Sus scrofa: one gene and its partners. The protein of the gene in region 1 purifies or fractionates together with the protein of each later gene. This does not show direct contact. Links are inferred from orthologs where the notes say so. Each region holds a gene or a part of one and is shown in the gene's direction. Other genes may lie near its edges.

The links.
Region 2: the proteins of PHLPP1 (region 1) and AKT1 purify together in Homo sapiens (affinity purification with western blotting, with the first as the bait; 3 studies listed by BioGRID). This does not show direct contact. The link is inferred for Sus scrofa from reciprocal best matches to the Homo sapiens genes PHLPP1 and AKT1.
Region 3: the proteins of PHLPP1 (region 1) and USP1 purify together in Homo sapiens (affinity purification with mass spectrometry; 6 studies listed by BioGRID and IntAct, counting the BioPlex papers as one, with this or other methods). This does not show direct contact. The link is inferred for Sus scrofa from reciprocal best matches to the Homo sapiens genes PHLPP1 and USP1.
Region 4: the proteins of PHLPP1 (region 1) and FKBP5 purify together in Homo sapiens (affinity purification with mass spectrometry; 4 studies listed by BioGRID and IntAct, with this or other methods). This does not show direct contact. The link is inferred for Sus scrofa from reciprocal best matches to the Homo sapiens genes PHLPP1 and FKBP5.

The regions. Positions count from the first base shown.
Region 1 is NC_010443.5:158,682,086-158,685,645, reverse strand, and holds part of PHLPP1 (PH domain leucine-rich repeat-containing protein phosphatase 1), read left to right. Parts: intron 1-2,516; coding exon 2,517-2,717; intron 2,718-3,560. UniProt on the Homo sapiens protein: Protein phosphatase involved in regulation of Akt and PKC signaling.
Region 2 is NW_018084979.1:3,052,654-3,056,682, reverse strand, and holds the start of AKT1 (RAC-alpha serine/threonine-protein kinase), read left to right. Parts: upstream 1-1,210; 5' UTR 1,211-1,225; coding exon 1,226-1,481; intron 1,482-4,029. UniProt on the Homo sapiens protein: AKT1 is one of 3 closely related serine/threonine-protein kinases (AKT1, AKT2 and AKT3) called the AKT kinase, and which regulate many processes including metabolism, proliferation, cell survival, growth and angiogenesis.
Region 3 is NC_010448.4:149,983,128-149,987,376, reverse strand, and holds the start of USP1 (ubiquitin carboxyl-terminal hydrolase 1), read left to right. Parts: upstream 1-1,430; 5' UTR 1,431-2,223; intron 2,224-4,249. UniProt on the Homo sapiens protein: Negative regulator of DNA damage repair which specifically deubiquitinates monoubiquitinated FANCD2. Also involved in PCNA-mediated translesion synthesis (TLS) by deubiquitinating monoubiquitinated PCNA.
Region 4 is NC_010449.5:31,547,012-31,551,182, reverse strand, and holds the start of FKBP5 (FK506 binding protein 5), read left to right. Parts: upstream 1-1,352; 5' UTR 1,353-1,459; intron 1,460-4,171. UniProt on the Homo sapiens protein: Immunophilin protein with PPIase and co-chaperone activities. Component of unligated steroid receptors heterocomplexes through interaction with heat-shock protein 90 (HSP90).

The DNA.
Region 1 (3,560 bases):
ACCATTGTAGTCAAAAATTTTTTAGCCCAATTTTTTGCTCTTTGAAGGTTAACTAACAAGATGATTCAATCAGGCTTTATTTAGTTCAAATAAAATCCTTTGGAACCAGCCCAGTGTAGTTTCAACTTAGTTTCATTTCCTGGAGGGTAGAATGTGGGATTCACCCTTCCCCCTAGTTTTTCATAAAAAGCATGTAGCTACTTCAGTGCAGGCAGATTTCAACAAGATGAGAGAACAAGTCTTTCTGGAAATCACTTTCTTCCCTTCATTCAGATGTTGTGAGAGTTTTTTAAAGTCCTTTTTGCAGTTTTCTAGATGAGCATTCACTTGTCAATCTTTTCTTTTCAAAACAACTTTTCCTCTTTTTCTGTCCTAAAAATATGCAGATATTCATGAATTAGTTTCCTTTCGTGTGTCTATAACTGCATATTTCTTCAAGAATTGTACTTTAGTAAGATTGTCAGAGTTTCCCCAACCAACCCCATTCCAAGATGTTTCAGAACAGTACATTTTAATGTTTTCTAATTCTACACTGAAGAAATTCTTAGAGTATTTAAGTCAGGTGATACAAACGGGACCCAAAGAAATAGATTCGTAAAAATACTTTAAAGAACTGTGCTGCCGAAACTGGTTTCCTTCCTAGTTAAAACCATTTCAGAAACTGCATGAATGACCTTTATTTTCTTCTCTAGCACACACGACTATAATTTCCCATGACTATTTATGGTCTGTACAGCCCTTTTCTAACTTCCTTTTTTTTTTTTTTTTAATGTCAACGGGATATGTGTTCCTTTAATGGAAAATGTTCTATTTTGGGGGAGCTGCTTTTCCTTAGATAAGTGGTGGAGTTAAGGTGGGTGGGTGGGTGGGTGTGAGTGTGTGGAGGTTGCAAGATTGGAGAGTATTAAATTAGTGGATTGAAAGCTTGGAATGACAGTCCTGGTGATGACTCTCGAGTACAAATTCTTTTTATCCAAGATTAAAAATAACTATACCTAGAAGCTCTCTTGTGGTGCATCAGGTTAAGGAATCCAACGTTGTCACTACAGTGGCTCCGGTTGCTATTGTGGCCAGGGTTCAGTCCCTGGCCCAGAAACTTACATGTGCCATGAACATGGCTTCCTCCCAAAACAGACAACAAACAAACAAACAAAAATCTTCTTTTGAAGGAAGATTTTATTCTTTTTTTCTAATTTATGGTAAAACAATCCTGAATTAAATGCTGAATGTATCAAGCCTAGGTTCTGAAACAAGAGAAAGGCAGTTCATTAACAGGGTAGTTCTAGGTCAGGGTTGGGGGGCAAGGCAGCTTGATCTTGGTACCTAGAGCAGGTAAGTCCTATGAGCGGGGCACTCTCCATGCTTGGGCCATTGCAGCCTCATGATGGGCCACACTGTGACGTGGGGGTGGGGGATTGTCTGCCATGCACTGTGTTGTCTATCGCCTATCATCCACACCCAGTACTTGCTCTGTCCATCTCTTCCCTTTCCAGTGCTTTGGAACCTGATCACAGCAAGGATTTTGTTTCAGTGCTCCAGCTTCGCATTTTGCATTTATCTGTGTTCCACAGTAACTATGGAAGGATTACACTGTTTTTGACAGTTTTAGTTATCTCAAGTTTAATAACATTCTTCATACTTCATACTTAAGCTCCATCATTTGCATAACTGGTGGCATATACATCTTATTTTAATGTAAATTTTATTGAAGTATCATATAAATACAGAAAAGCAGCCAAATCATAAGTATAGCACCTGATAAATTTTCTCAAAGTGACCAGCACCCAGATCGAGAACCAGAACGTTATCATATTGGAGAAATTAGCTGACTCCTCGACACTGTTTCCCTTCCCCAACTTTTAATACTATAGATTAGTTTACCTGATTTTGAACTCCAGAATTATGGAATTATGCAGTGTACCCTCCGGTATCTGGCTGTTTTCACTCTATTATATTTGTGAGATTCATGCTGTTGATACATGTAGTTGTTCTTTTTCACCACTACATAGTAGTGCATTATTTTACTACAGAGCAAATTATCTCCTGCCATTGTGAATATATAGTCAGTAAAATATGGTTTAGCCATCGTACTAAAAAGGACTTAGCCACTATGTGATTTAGTTGTATTGTGATCTGATGTCTAATTGTTTTATTGCCATACAAGCTCTTTTATTTTAAAATAGGCAGCAGTTTTTCTTAAGAGAGAATATCAACTTTTTTTTATCACTCTCCCTTCCACTCCCTACCAGCTATAAAATTAATCACTTCCTCTCACCTTTGTGCTTCCATAAAAATTGATTTCTCTTTGTAGTTAACTCATATAGAGAGCTATTGTTCCTTATAAATAGTAGGGTTACATATCTATTTGCCTACCAAAGCCAGCACCTATCTTTAAATTCATGTTTGTAAACCCAGTTTCCAGTAGGCCCAGTATCAATCTGAAAACTAGGTTTGTTGAGAATTCTGGACTAGAGCCCTGTCTTAACAGGAGATTTTGTTGCATTTTGTCATTGTAGCCTGAGATTCCTGAATGCATCGGCAAACAAACTGGAAACGCTTCCTCCAGCCACACTTTCTGAAGAGACAAACAGCATCTTACAGGAGTTGTATTTGACAAATAACAACCTCACAGATAAATGTGTGCACTTGTTAACGGGACATCCCCGTCTGAAGATTCTTCACATGGCCTATAACCGACTTCAGAGTTTTCCAGCAAGGTAAAAGAAGATCCCAAAGTGCTGCCCTTCATGGACAGGATGGAGAGGCAAAACCTAAAGTGATTATTTCCCAGATAATGTAAAGCTTGTGCCTCCTGATTCTGTTCACAGCTGTCTTTTATGTAAGCCATCAGCATTCCCCTAAAGAGAAATGTTTCTTTTTCTGATATGAATGTATTCAAAGACCCACTCACTAGGATGTTCTTATGATTTTGAAATAAGGTATGCCATTTAGTGAATATGTTTTTTCTTTTGCTTCTTTTTAACTGGTCAAGTTAATTTAAAAAAAATTTAACCTAATATGGTGTGTGGGGATTAGCACATAGACTAGGATCCTGAGGGTTCTTATTTAGCTGTCAGCTTTTGTGTTTGTATTTATGGTATAAAAAGCAGTGGTGGCCTATGCAATCATAGAAACTGACATTAAAAAGAATTAGCAGCTCTGAGGAAATCACACTTTTAATGCTATTTTAATTTCTGATTTGGGAGAGCAGTGGCATTGTCTCTTGCTTTGAGTGAATCTACACACAGCCTGCCCTGAAGGATTTATGTCATTGGCATGTATCCATTTAACAAGTTAGGTCTTGGAGCTGGTACCCACATGTCAAAGAAGCAGACACTCAGCCCTCTGGTATCCTGCTGCTACTACAACCTAGCATTGGGCCAGAACAAAGACTTGGAACAGCCTCCCTCTGCTGCCATCAGGGATACCAGTCTGTGAAACCCTTGCTAAAGAAGGGAAGCCCAAATATGTATTGACTTCAAGTATTGCTCTGTATTTTTGTAGTATACATCTGTTTCTTTAGTTTTTCACTCATTTGATGTTAATGATTAAACTTTTCT
Region 2 (4,029 bases), on another chromosome or scaffold:
CTCTCCCCGTGTGCTAGACGTAGGTGACTGGGCCAGGGGCAGAGGTCACGTGGTGGGGGCGGGAAATGGGTGGGTTTGGGTGAGATGTTGTGGGAACCAAGGATGACTCTGACTGGGGCTGGAGGTGGGAGGTGGGGCTGTTTCCCATGATGGGTGAGGAACTAGCGTTTTTGGGCCTGGGTCGCGGGGGGGGGTGTTCGGCTACGTCCTGGCCTTGGTCCCCCGCGGGCAGGTGGCGGTGCAGGAGAGGGGGTAGTTTGAGGACGTCTCCGTGTTTCCCTGTGGCGCCCCCACCCCCGCTGTGCCCTCTCCCTCGAAGGAACTAAAGCCTCCTTTGGGGGCAGCTCTGGGAGCAGTGGGGGAGCCCTGGGCTGGGGGGGCAGACGGCGCCACCTGTAGCACAGGTGAGAGGCTGGACCCCCCCGCCCCCCGCCAGGGTCTGATTGTGAGGGAGGGTGGGGGACTGTGCCTGTCCTCCAGCTCCTCACAGACCCCCTGATCCCCCGCCGCCACTGCCAGTGCGGCTCCCGCCACGCAGGTGACAGGGTACAAGGAACTGGTCTGCCTTCTGTCGCGTCTGTCCTGCGTCCAGCCCAGGGCCTGCCCTCAAGGGGCCCCGTGGGCACAGACTTGGCGGTTGAGGGGTGGCTGCAGTCCGTCCTTCTCCTGCCCCTCCGGGCAGGGGCTCCATCTCTGAGGAGTGCCCCGGCTACTTCCCCGGTGTCCTGACTGCCAGGGGGGCCCAGGAGAGCCGGGCTGGGTGGCCAGCGCTGCAGCTCGAGTCCCAGCCCTGCCTGACCTGCAGCACCAGGCAAGCCCTCGGGCCTCTGTCCCCTGGTGTCTGGCCAGGGAGCCGGTCCCAGGAGGGTGGAGTCAGGCTGCTGAAGGCTCAGAAAGTTGGGGGGGGGTGGGAGAGGACTGGGCTGGGAGGGGCCTGCAGGGACCCCGCCTGTGTGACAGGTGGCCCTCAAGCTATGAGTGGGTGTCCCCAGAGGCAGGCCGACTTCCTGAGCAAAGTGGGGTATCCCAGGCAGCTGATGGGCAGACACCCCAGGCTATGGCGGCCACTGCGAGTGCTGGGCAGCTCAGCTCAGCTCAGCCGCAGGTGCTGGGGGCTGGTGGGCTCCGTGTGGCTCAGAAATGCGCATTTTCAAAGATTCGGTCTTTTGTGTGCTCTCCTGATTTTTGAAGGCTGATAGTTAAAAAAAACCAACCCTCCTTCAGGATGCAGGTCTGGCTGGACTCGGCTGCAGCCTCCTGCTGTGTCTTCAGACTGCGTGTGCTGTGCCAGGCCGCGGGCCGGTGTGCGCAGCTGCTTCGGGACGTTCCCCAAGGCCCGGGCCTCCCTGCCTACTTGGCCTGGTGCCCGTGGTCTGTGCACTGTCTCGGCGGCAGCCCAGCCCTGCGGGGTCCCAAACCTAGAGCCCGTGTCTGGCTGTCCTCCTGGGTGACCCCACCCGTGGATGGGCCGCCTGGACCAGGTGGGTTGGGAGAAGGGAAGGGGGCAGCCAGATGCTGGCCATGGGCTGAAAGAAGGGGTTGCGGGCTCACAGGACGAGCCGGGCCTGGGAAGCGGAGGGGGTGCCGGCCTGGGCCTGCCAAGGAGCCAGCGGGCAGGTGGAGGGGAGCGGGGCTCCTGCCCCTGGACCCGGCCTGGACCGGCCACCTGCAAGGCCCGCGGGCATGTGTGCACAGGGGAGGCGCGGGCCTGCTCACCACCCGAGCTCCACCCCAGGCACGGGGCCGGGGGGGCTGGTCCCTGGCGTGTCTTGGGCCTTGCTGTGCCCCCTGCCTGAGCCCCTTTCTGGCCTGGACCCTCGCCGGCTCCAGGCCCTCACCACCCCTGCTGCGCTGGTGCCAGGCACCCTGGTGGGGAGTGGGCTTCCTGGCCGTGGTGGCTCCTCTTCCTGCCCCGCTCAGCCCTGGCCGGATCCTGCTTCCTGCTGTGGCCGCAGCGGCTTCCCTGCCCTCAGGCGGCTCTGAGCTGCCCAGACGCCACTTCCATTTGCTGACACGAAACCCACGGTCCCGGCCCTGGGCTCACATGGGGCGGGGGCTGTGGGGGCGCAGCCTGGCTCCCCTTTCGAGGCGACGGTGGCTCTGCTGAGTGGCCAGCGGGCCGAGGCCTGCAGGGACCTGTTCAGCCCGCCTGGGCGCACGGTGCCGCTGCGGGGGCTCTGCCAGGGCGAGGGGCTCGCGGGAGCGTGGGGCAGGGTCTGCTCCCCTTGCCCTGTGCCCCGGGCCGGGTGAGGGGCTCCCCAGGTGCCGCTCAGGTCATGCTGCAGTGACTGTAGCTCCAGTCCGGGCAGTCCCTCATCCACAAGCAGTACCCTCTGCGAGGGCCCAGCACTGGCCTGGGGCAGATCCGAGCCGGCAGCCGGGCTGAGGGTGGGCACGGTGCTGGGCCCCTGCTCCTGGGGCTGGGGTGCTCTCTTTGGGACCCCGGCGGCACCAGGCTGTGGCCGTGGTCGTGGCCAGCCAGCCGGTGTGGGGCCGAGTTTCCTGTTTTGTGAGCGCGTTGAGTTTTCTCTTCAAAACAAACAACAAAAGAGGAAGCTCAGGCGTCCTTGGCTGGGGGGTGAGGGGTCACTGCCCGCCCCGCTTGGTGTCCCTGGGCTCCTGCCTGATGGGCCCCGAGTGGGCAGTGCTCCTGCCTCCTTCCTGGCCCTGCCGGGCAGGGGAGGGGGCTGGGGCGCCGCTGGGGTCCCGGGCTGGCTTCTGCGGACACCCCAGCTGCCCCAGGTGGCATGGTGTGCACGCCCAGGAGGGGAACCCAGGTCTGGGCGGGATGGGCTGGGATGCCAGGCCCAGTCCGGAGCCCTGGGCCCGGACCCCTACCCTGCGCCAGCCCTAGGGAGAGGCCTGGGCTGGGTTGCGTCAGGCCAGTTCCTAGAAGTGCCACGGGAGGGCGGGGCGGGGGGGCTGGCTCGGCTGTGGCTGGCGTCCCCTCTCCCCGGGCACACCCGGCCAGGCTCGCGGCCAGTGCCCTCCCCGCGGGCCTCCCGCGCAGGAGCCGGCGGCTGCCTCTGTGCCCACAGAGGGTGGATGCCCACTGCTCCCGCCCCCTCGCCGAGCCTGGCCCCGCAGCCCCAGGAGGAGGCCCCCCAGCCCGGACCTGGCCCCTGGCGGGTTGGCAGAGGGCCCTGGCTCCGGGCTGGGGTGGAGCTGCGTGCGCCCCGCTTAGCCACGCCCTGCTTCCTCTTGAACCTTCAGAAGGGACAGGCTTGTGTGTCAGAAACAGCAGGATCGATGGTGGCGGTTCTTTGGTGGCGCCTCTGCTGACCCTGGGGGCTTTAGGCTGGGGCACTGGGTTTGGGGTCACCGATCCCTGCCCCCTGCCCCGACCATCTCCAGGGTGGTCGGGCCTGCCCAGAGGTCTCAGTGCTTCTCCCAGCAGGGGCGGGAGCCCACCCTGGGCCCTGCTGCTGAGGCGCTGGCGTCCCCCTCGGGCCGTGGGGGCCTCACAGCCAGTGCTGGGGGCTGTGGCGCGGGAGCCAGGTGACGCCTGGAGCGGGGAGGATGCAGCCTGCCCCCGGGTCACAGAGGAGGGGGCCGAGGGAGGGGGCCCTGTCCCCACCAGGCCCCGCTGTCCTCCCGGCTGTCCCGCCGCAGATGTCACTCCGGTCAGGGAAGAGCAGGTGTCGGGCTGGGAGGCCTTCCTCTGCGCCTCTGGGCTGGCCCCTTCCTGTGCGGGTTGTGCTTCTTCCTGGGTGTCGGTGCCCGGAGCCCCTTGCACCCCAACCCGGGCCTCGCTTAGGGAGGCTGGGGGTCACTTGGACGCCGAGGTCTTGCCTCTGCCTCCTCTGGGTGTTTGCAGGGAAGGGGTCTGGGCAGGGCCCCTGCCCACGGGGAGGGCTCGGCCATCCCTCTTGCCCCCCGCCCCAAGCCACCCTGCGGGAGCTACCACAGCCCGTCTGTGCGCCGCCGTCCGCCCGCTCTGTCTCCGCCTCTGCCTGCTCAGGACCCCGAGGCCTTTCTGGGTTTGGTTGGGTGGCTCTTGGCCCAGGAGTGAGAGTGTGTCCCCAGGGA
Region 3 (4,249 bases), on another chromosome or scaffold:
TTTTCTTATCCATCAGCAGATCCTATTGGCTTCTATCAGTTCTCAACATTTCCACTGCTACTACCTTATCCCAAGCCCCCATAATTTTTTCCCTGGGCAGCAGAAATAGCCTCCTAGGTGACCTTCCAGCTTGCAGTTTTGAAGGTCAGCAGTCTGTCCACCACGAGCAGTCACTTAACCGATCACGCCACTCCCCAGCTTCAAACCGTCAAGTGATTCCCGTCTCCTTACCTAACCAGAGCCCTGCCCAGTGTCGCCGATCTCACGTCCCACAATCTTCCGCACTTAAGTTCACTGCGCTCTAAGCTCCTTGGCCTCCCTGCCTTCTTTCCAGAACGCCAAGTGCCTGAAGACTTTTATAACTTACCTTTCTCCTTGCTGGGACCATTCCTCCCTCAGATTCGGCCAAGGCTGGCTGTGTCTTCATTTAGTTTTCTACTCAAATGTCTGACTGTGGTACCTAGAACAGCACCCTCCTTATTTCCTCTCCTATCACTCATATTATTTTATCTCATTTTAGCTTTGCATTTACCCTGCCTAGAAGGGAAAGCCCCTTTGGAGCAGTTAATGTTCATTCGCGCCGTATCCCTGGCGCCTGGAAAAGTGCCTGGCACATCAAGCACCTAAAAACAGGCTTAGTTAAATGAATTTGCACTGAACTTATCCTGTTTTCCACTTGCTTTGTGAGATCACCTCGCCTCCGAGGTAGGCATACAAACAGGGACGGAAGCAGAAGCTATGGAAAGGCCTGCCTTGCCGTGTTTTGAGCCCATTAGTAAGGCCTCGCGCAAGAACCCCTCGAAGCTCCCCCAGCCAGAGCCGGGCGTTAAGAATGCTCTTTAGTCTCCTCGTCGTCCGGAGACAACAAGAGACGTCGGTGGGGAGGGGAAAGGGTAAAGAGGAGAAAATAACGCGTGGAAGGGCTGAGGAAGGAGCCTCGGCTCTGCACCGTTCGGTTGAGAATTTACTATTTTTCATGGCGGCAATTATTTTACTGGATGGCCCGGGGGCTGGGGCTGCGATTCGGGCGCACAGCAGCAAGCGAGGCGGTCAGCCATTTTCCGAAACTAATCTCCCGAGTAACCCCGCCCGAGTGTGTACGCATGAAACGGAGGCGGGACTTATTGTGAGGGCCCCTCTCCGGAAACCGCACCCTCGCTGGCGTCCCACCTTCTGGGATTCACAAAACGCAGACCAAGATTTAACAGTCGGCAGCGAAAGCGCGCACTCGAGCGCCAATGAGAGCGGGAGGAGAACGGCGTCTGAAGAACACTCTCTATGGCCAACAATGATTGGCTGAAGCCCTCCTGTCTTTTTTTTGTATTGGGTGGACTGCCTTTCCCCGCCCACCCAGTTCGCTTTTGTCTAGGTACTTTTGATTGGCTCCTCTTAGGCGGCACGGGGGATTGTTCATTACGGATTGGTGGATTTGAGCACCTGGCGGCTCCTTCCCGAGCAGGGAGTCCATCCCACCTCTCTGTCCTGTTTCCCGACCCGTACGCTTTCCCCTCAACTCTCGCGCACGAATGGTTAAAAAAAAAAAAAAAAAAAAGGGTGTGAGGCTGGAGCCCGCCAGCCAGGCCTCTCGCTCCTAAGCGCGCGCCCTCAGCGAGGACCCGCGCGAGCTGCCCGTGACGCTGCCTGCGCTGTTTGAAACTGCAGAACCCGTTACGAGCTTGAGGCAACTACCGTTCCAGCTGGTTCCGGAGCCCGTGCGGGCCAAGGGGCGAGTGGCGGTCTCGAGGCGGCTCTGGCCTTTCGCGTCTCCACCGCGTGGAGACTAGAACCGGCACTTTCGCAGGACACCACTTCCAATCGCAGCGCTGGCGCGGGCGGAGGCTAAAACACGGGGGTCCTGAGACTGAGGAAAACGCGCCAAGTTCCCGTCGGTGGTGGAGTGAGGAAGACCCTAGCGGTTAGGACGCCGGGCGAGCGGAGCTGCTTCTGGCGCTCCTTGCCGTCCCGGGGCGGGGGCGGGCGCGGGCGGGCGCCGCTCCGGGGATGTAGTTGGTGCGGGCGCCGGGCAGGACCGAGCGGCAGCCCGGGTTCCCGCTCTTCAGAGCGAATGGTCACTCCCCCGCGGGGAGGGCGATCCGACCAGCTTTTCCTTGGGTCGGGGGGCCCCCGCGGGCTCGGGGCAGGGGCTCACCTGTGGCACCCACGCTCGGCCTGGTTGGACTTGTCGGCGTCACCGCCGCGGACCTCGCTTTGGGCCATGACCAGGTAAGGAGGGCCTGTGGAGGTGGGGCCGGCGCCCGAGGGGGCCGCGGGGAGGACCTCGGCTTCGTGGGTGCAGCGCCGCCGCCGAGCTCCGTGCAGCGGGCGGGGCGCCCTCCTGCCGCCGCCGGGGACTCAAGGCAGGTGCGGGCCGGGCGTAAATAGGCCAGCTCCGCGGGCGAGGGTCCCGGAGCTGCGGTCCTGCTTCAAGACGCCTCCCGCCGGGCCCGTGGCGTCCTCACGGGCACGGGCACAGACCCCATCCCGTCTTTTCGCTTTCCTTTCCGTTCCTAGAGAGTGCGGGGTAGCGCCAAGGAATGTTTTCGCTCGCGTTGTCCTGGGTCGGGATTGCTGCATTTTACCGCGCAGTTTAAACTTTTACTTCTTTTTTTTTTAACAAGTATTTAGAATGCCACGTGTCTTAAACCTTTGTTGGGAATGTTCTCCTTATGTTACGTTTTTCGTGGAAAGTTGCAATTAAGTCGTACCACCTTGTGAAGGAGGCCGCTTAAGACGAATAGGACTTAGTGTTCACACTGTCACTTGTTCAGTAACATGCAATGTTCGATTTATCGTGGGTTCTGCGAAACCGGATTTAGATTACGGGAGAAACATTTTTGTTGTAGCAAACCCCAGTGATAAGGACAGGCGGGAGCAAGAAATGGTGCAGCATAAGGCACGGCACCTGGTCAAATGTTAGATTAACTAGGTCATGTTAAATCACTGCTTGAAGGAGCCTGGAGGATTGGTTTATTGATTAGGATTGGTAGTTATTTTAGCTGCCTGGCCATTTTTTTCTTATGTTTATATGTAAGTCGGGTTACTTTGTCTTTTAGAGAAATCAGATTGGCTCCCAAGAAAACCCTTTTGCGGGAATCATTGATGCTTAAGAGATCCCTGACACCTTAGTGCAGGCTGGTTTATCATTCGTGATAGCGTTTCTTCAGTAGCACTAGGTAGTCTGGAGAGTAAATTGAGTTGGAGTGGGTCTGTGGAAATTGGTCGGCTTTCCATTTATTCCTGAGGTGTCTCAAAAAGTTGGCTTCACTGCCGAGTTCAGTGTTATGAGGTCCTAGATCCGAGGCAGCCCAGTGAAATGTTAAATAAGGATGGAATTTAGTTCGTATTGTTACTCTGCCTATTTATTTGTAAAGTCCTTGCTGAGCTTTTGGACTCTTAAGTGATTTTCTGGTAATACTCCAGGCAGATAATTTCCCCCTAGATAGCCTAATAAAAAAACAGGATTGAAGTTTAAAATAACTACCACAGATACATTTTTTTAATCAGAAAGTTTTATTTTAAGACAGGGAAGAAAGTTTGCATAATGCAAACTATCCTTTTTTCCCTACTTAAAGCAGAATTTTAAAAAATTCTGGAGTTTAAGTTTGGAAAATCAGTAGCATATTTTGGTTTCTAGAGCGTTAAGAATTTGATTTACACAAATTATGGCATTTTTTTACACTGTTATCCTAATCTTGCATATGGTTTCTTGTTTTTCACACAAGGTTTTAGACTATTTCATATAAGTAGAAAAGGCTCTGGAAGGAGAACTCAGCTGCTTCTAAGCACTCCTTTAATTTCCCATTCATCTGTTTCCCACCTCCTACTTGAGATGGTAGTTGCTTGTTGTTTTCTGAATAAACTAATACATAATAAAGTTTTTATGCTTTAATGATACTACTTTATTCCAGATCTATTACTAAAATGGGTTAATTTGTGATATGACCATTAATATACTAAGCAGGCTAATAAGAATTTTAATATCTGGCCTTTTTTGTTGTGTAAGAAAGTTAAGGACAGGAATTCTGTTGTGGAACCTGACTAGTATCCATGAGGATGTGGGTTCCATCCCTGGCCTCCGTCAGAGGTTAAGGATGCAAAGGTTCATCCTTAGGTCGAAGACAAGGCTCCACTTCACACTGTTTTGGTGTAGGCCAGCAGCTGTAGTTCCAATTTGACCCGTACCCTGGGAAGCTCCCTATGCCGGGTGCAGCCCTAAAAAGACAAAAAAAAAAAAAAAAGAGTTAAGGAC
Region 4 (4,171 bases), on another chromosome or scaffold:
GTCCAGAGAAAAGTGCTATGTGCGACGGTTCTCCGGGTGGGATTTTCCCACTTCTGAGAGACAACTTTGAGTTCCTGGTGGTGTTTCCTGGGGCTAACCTGGCTTGCTTACCTGACACAAACAGCCTGGCCTGCCCCTCTCCATCCACGGGGCAGGTTGGGTGGGCAGGAAGGGGGACAGAGTTTTCAGGGAGAGACCCCGTTGTTAAGTCAACAAGCTTATTTAGGCATTAATTTCCCTGGAGGCAAGGAACGGTGTGAGGGGGTGTGGGTCAGTTTCCTTCATCCCTTGCCTCCAGCCCCCACAAAGGGCAAGGGCCAGACACGTGGGCTGGCGTGGAGAGGCGGAGGTTACACCAAGGCGGAGGTGCAAATGGACGGGGGCGGGGCCTTATTTGCATGGACAGCGCGAGGCCGCCAATCCGAACAGGCAGAGCGACAGCCCGCGCGCCTTTTGGGGGCGGACTGACGGCCCCGGGGCCCTATGGAAGGCGGGTCCTACGGCCGGCGGGGGCGGGACGGCGCCGGGCGCTGCCCGGGGGATTCGGGCCGGTTCGCAGGCGCTGCCAGTCTCTGGAGGCGGCGGCGTCCGGCGCGCGGGCGGCCTGCTGGGCGGGCTGAGGGGACAGCTGCGTGCGGGTGAGGCGGGGAGAGACAGAGCAGTAGAGCAACCCCGGCGACAGGTACCGGCGCCATGGCCGCAAGGATGGGGCGGGTGGTCGTGGAGCTCCGGGAGCCGAATTCCTCCTTTGCGGTCCCGCCGCCTTCCCGCTCCGCCTCCCCGCCTCCTCATGCGGCTCCCCAGTCCGGGAACGGCGCGTCGGGGAGAGAGGGGCCGGGGAAGCCTCGAGGCGGACGCGCCGGAGGTCCCCAGCCCGCCGCGGGGCTCCTTTGCGTCCCGCCAGGCCGCGGGGCCGGGGTTCCCTCCTGGAGGCGCGGAGCCGGGCGGCCGCGAGAGCCGCTCCCCGCCCCCGCCGCGCTCCCCCTCGCGGAGGCGAGGCCGGTGGCGCCCGCTGGTCCTCACCCGGCTTTTGTTTCCCGCCCGGGGTGACAGGTCCCGGGCTCCGGCTCGTCCGAGGCCCGGCGCCGGTGACTGCGGCCGGCCGGAGCAGGCGGCGGGACTGGCGGGAGGGCCGGGCGGCGCGTGAGCAGTAGCCGCCGCGGGCGGGAGAGAAACTTCGCCTTCCGGGCCCGGGCGGCGGGAGAAGTGGAGCTGGGGTGAGCCGAGCGTCGGGACGCCGCGGGCACGATGGAGCCTCGCTCACCTGGCGGGGCCCGCGCAGGGCGAGGATAACGGAGCGTCCGGCCGCCGCGGTCCTGGCTTTCGGTTTGCGCTCCCCGGGCGGTGGGTGTGGATGTGTGTTCGCCGCCTTCACCTGCAGACCCGGGACTGGTGACTGGAACAGCATTCCCGCTCTCGGCCGCGCTTAGAGGGTGCCAGGGCCGCTCAGTTTGAACAGGTGATTATTTTAGTGCCAGGTGAAGGCCATTGAGGAGTTTTAGGGCTCCGTATTCAATTCACTCCGGGGCGTTAGAACGCATCTACCCTTAATGACTTCTAAAAAGGGGTGCTGGTTGCAGTAGAGGAGTCAAACTAGTTCAATTTTTTAAAAACTGGGCGGGGGCCGGGAGAGCGAAGGCGAAGTTTCTCTCCCGCCGGGAGAGAACCTGCTTCACACGGACGGGCGGGGAGGAACGTCGTAGTCTCAGTTTGAAAATGGGCTTCTGCAGCGGTGGCGAAAGCATGGTAAGGTACAAGTTGTAAATGGAGAATGCAGAACTCTAGATATCCCTCTGTGTGGTTCAGGACAGCGTGTACAGCCTTTGGCCGCCATTCAGTAAATTCTGCATGAAGCAGTTTGAGCTCGTGGTTTTGGATTTACTTTACAGGAGTGGAATAAGGCTGAGCATTGAATGGGAGCTTTCTTTGCTTTTCTGAGGGCACACAGGAGTGTTTATGTTCATTGTCTTCCCATTTTGTTAGATTGCGGACCAGGGCAAAGTTAAGGCATATTTTGGTTGAGTGTTTTTAATTGTCTCTGGGAATTCTCCTTCCCCCACCGTTCCACCCCTGCCCCTCAGAAGAGGTCTCCAGAGAATTAGAGTAACTTTTCCTCTTGGGCGTTTGAGTCCAAATTCAAAGATGGATGTGAAAACTTATTCTTGTGGGACGTTTTTGTTTGTCATACTTAACATTTTCTGTTTCTGCCTCTCCCATCTGACCTCTGCTTAACACTCTGCAGTTATGGCCCTGACCAATTTAGGGCACCTATAGGGAAAAAAAAGTTTTAAAATAATATGTAGTAATTACTTAAAAATATGTTATGAAGGTTACTAATGACGTATTGGATAAACAGTTGATTTAGATTTTCTTTGCTAATATGTCTTTTTGATGTCTGTGCTAGGTATGGTTTATACTTAGATGTAAGTTTAACTTAGTGATAAAGTTATACTTCTGATTTAGTATGCTACTTTATTAGTGTTTCGTTGAATAGTAATTTTAGTTATTTAGATAATTAGTGACACCTTTTAAAGGTGAACTCTAACCAATAAGCTAATTGTGACTATTGGGGATTAAAAAAAAAAGCAAAACAAAGTGGTCTTTATAAAATGTTTTATTTCTTTAGAACAACAGGCTTATATGCTGAGAGGTCCTTGTCTTTCAAACATTTAACAAAACAAGTATGTTTCTGAATCTTTAATTTTTTAGGGATGGGAATTTGGGGTGAATTTCTTTTTTAAAACAATTTTAATCAGTTCAACGTGACTATTTTAAAATATTAGATTAGACAACTAATGAAATCTTCAATTTTCTGTTTTTTCTTGGATTGAATAGGTTGTTTAGTTTCCTCAAGGCTTCTTAGCTTAGAACGAATCGGTCTAGGAAAGGAAGACCATCCTTGTATATATAGGTGTAGAAGTAATTTCTATTGAAAGCTGAGTTGCCTTTTTGATGCTTAGTGAAGGTTGAATGGTTGAACAGTGACTTGTCCAGAGTGGATTTGATTCTATATAAATAGACTTGAAGACTTTTATGAGACCCGGGCTCTCATGGTTCTGAGCGATTTATGTAATTAATTGTTCTTTAAAGTGTATGGGAATATTAGTTTAACTACTGTGTGTAATTAGTTATAAAATCTTTGTCCTGTGATGATGCTTAAATATACCACATATCATAAAGCTACATTTCATAGTTTCATTTACACAAAAGCATATTTTGGGAACTTTAACTATAAAAGTGACTTTTAATTAAAAGATTGCTTTCAGATTCAGTTTTTACACACTTTAATTGCTGATTTTTGTCCCCTTTAACTTTGTTTACTTTAACTTGTGGTAGACCATATCATAAAATTATCAGCCACATTACAGTTTCAAATTTAAGCATAAGTTGAATTATCGCATCTACACAGTTTACATTGGGAATGTTTTTGTCATTAACCCTCAGGTGTGGCTCCCTTTGAGTTTGAGGCTGGGAAAATATTTTTTAACGAGTAAAGCCACAAAAAAACCGGAACACATTAAACCAACTAAACTTGAGGATAAATCTCACAATTCAGATATTAATACTGTTTTATTTAACAGTAATATGCTTGCTGTATCTCTCATTAATAGTCTCTGTAGGCCTTTAATGTAATTTTTCACAATTCCTAATAAAAGCCTATAGTTACATAATTTGGCACACTAAATTTGTAATTATTTTATGCTGAACAGTTACATGTTCTATACATTTTATAATTCTGAAACTATTTGAACTTTTAACCTAGCTGATTAGAAATTAGATTTTTTTCATTTTACATTCTGAATTTTTTTTTTACAGTGTTTTTTAACTACTGAAATTATGTCCCCAAAAGTGTAAGGGACATTAAATGTACATTCATCAGAGATTAGGCGGCCATTGGTAGGTACATCACATGATTATTGACTTAAAAGCAATAGCCACTGAAGTGCGATTTTTTTTTTTTTTTTTTTTTTTTTTGCGACTAAGATGTTTGTTTATTGTGTAAAAGACAGGTCTGCCAAATGAGACAGGTTAAAATAATTTATAGTAGGGCCTTGTGTATATGTAGCTAACAAGTTAGTAAGGATATTTCAGTAGTATTTGAGACACTAAAATTCAAGTACTCGAAGTAATTTATATCTCATAATTTGTCATGATGAGACTTGACCTGATT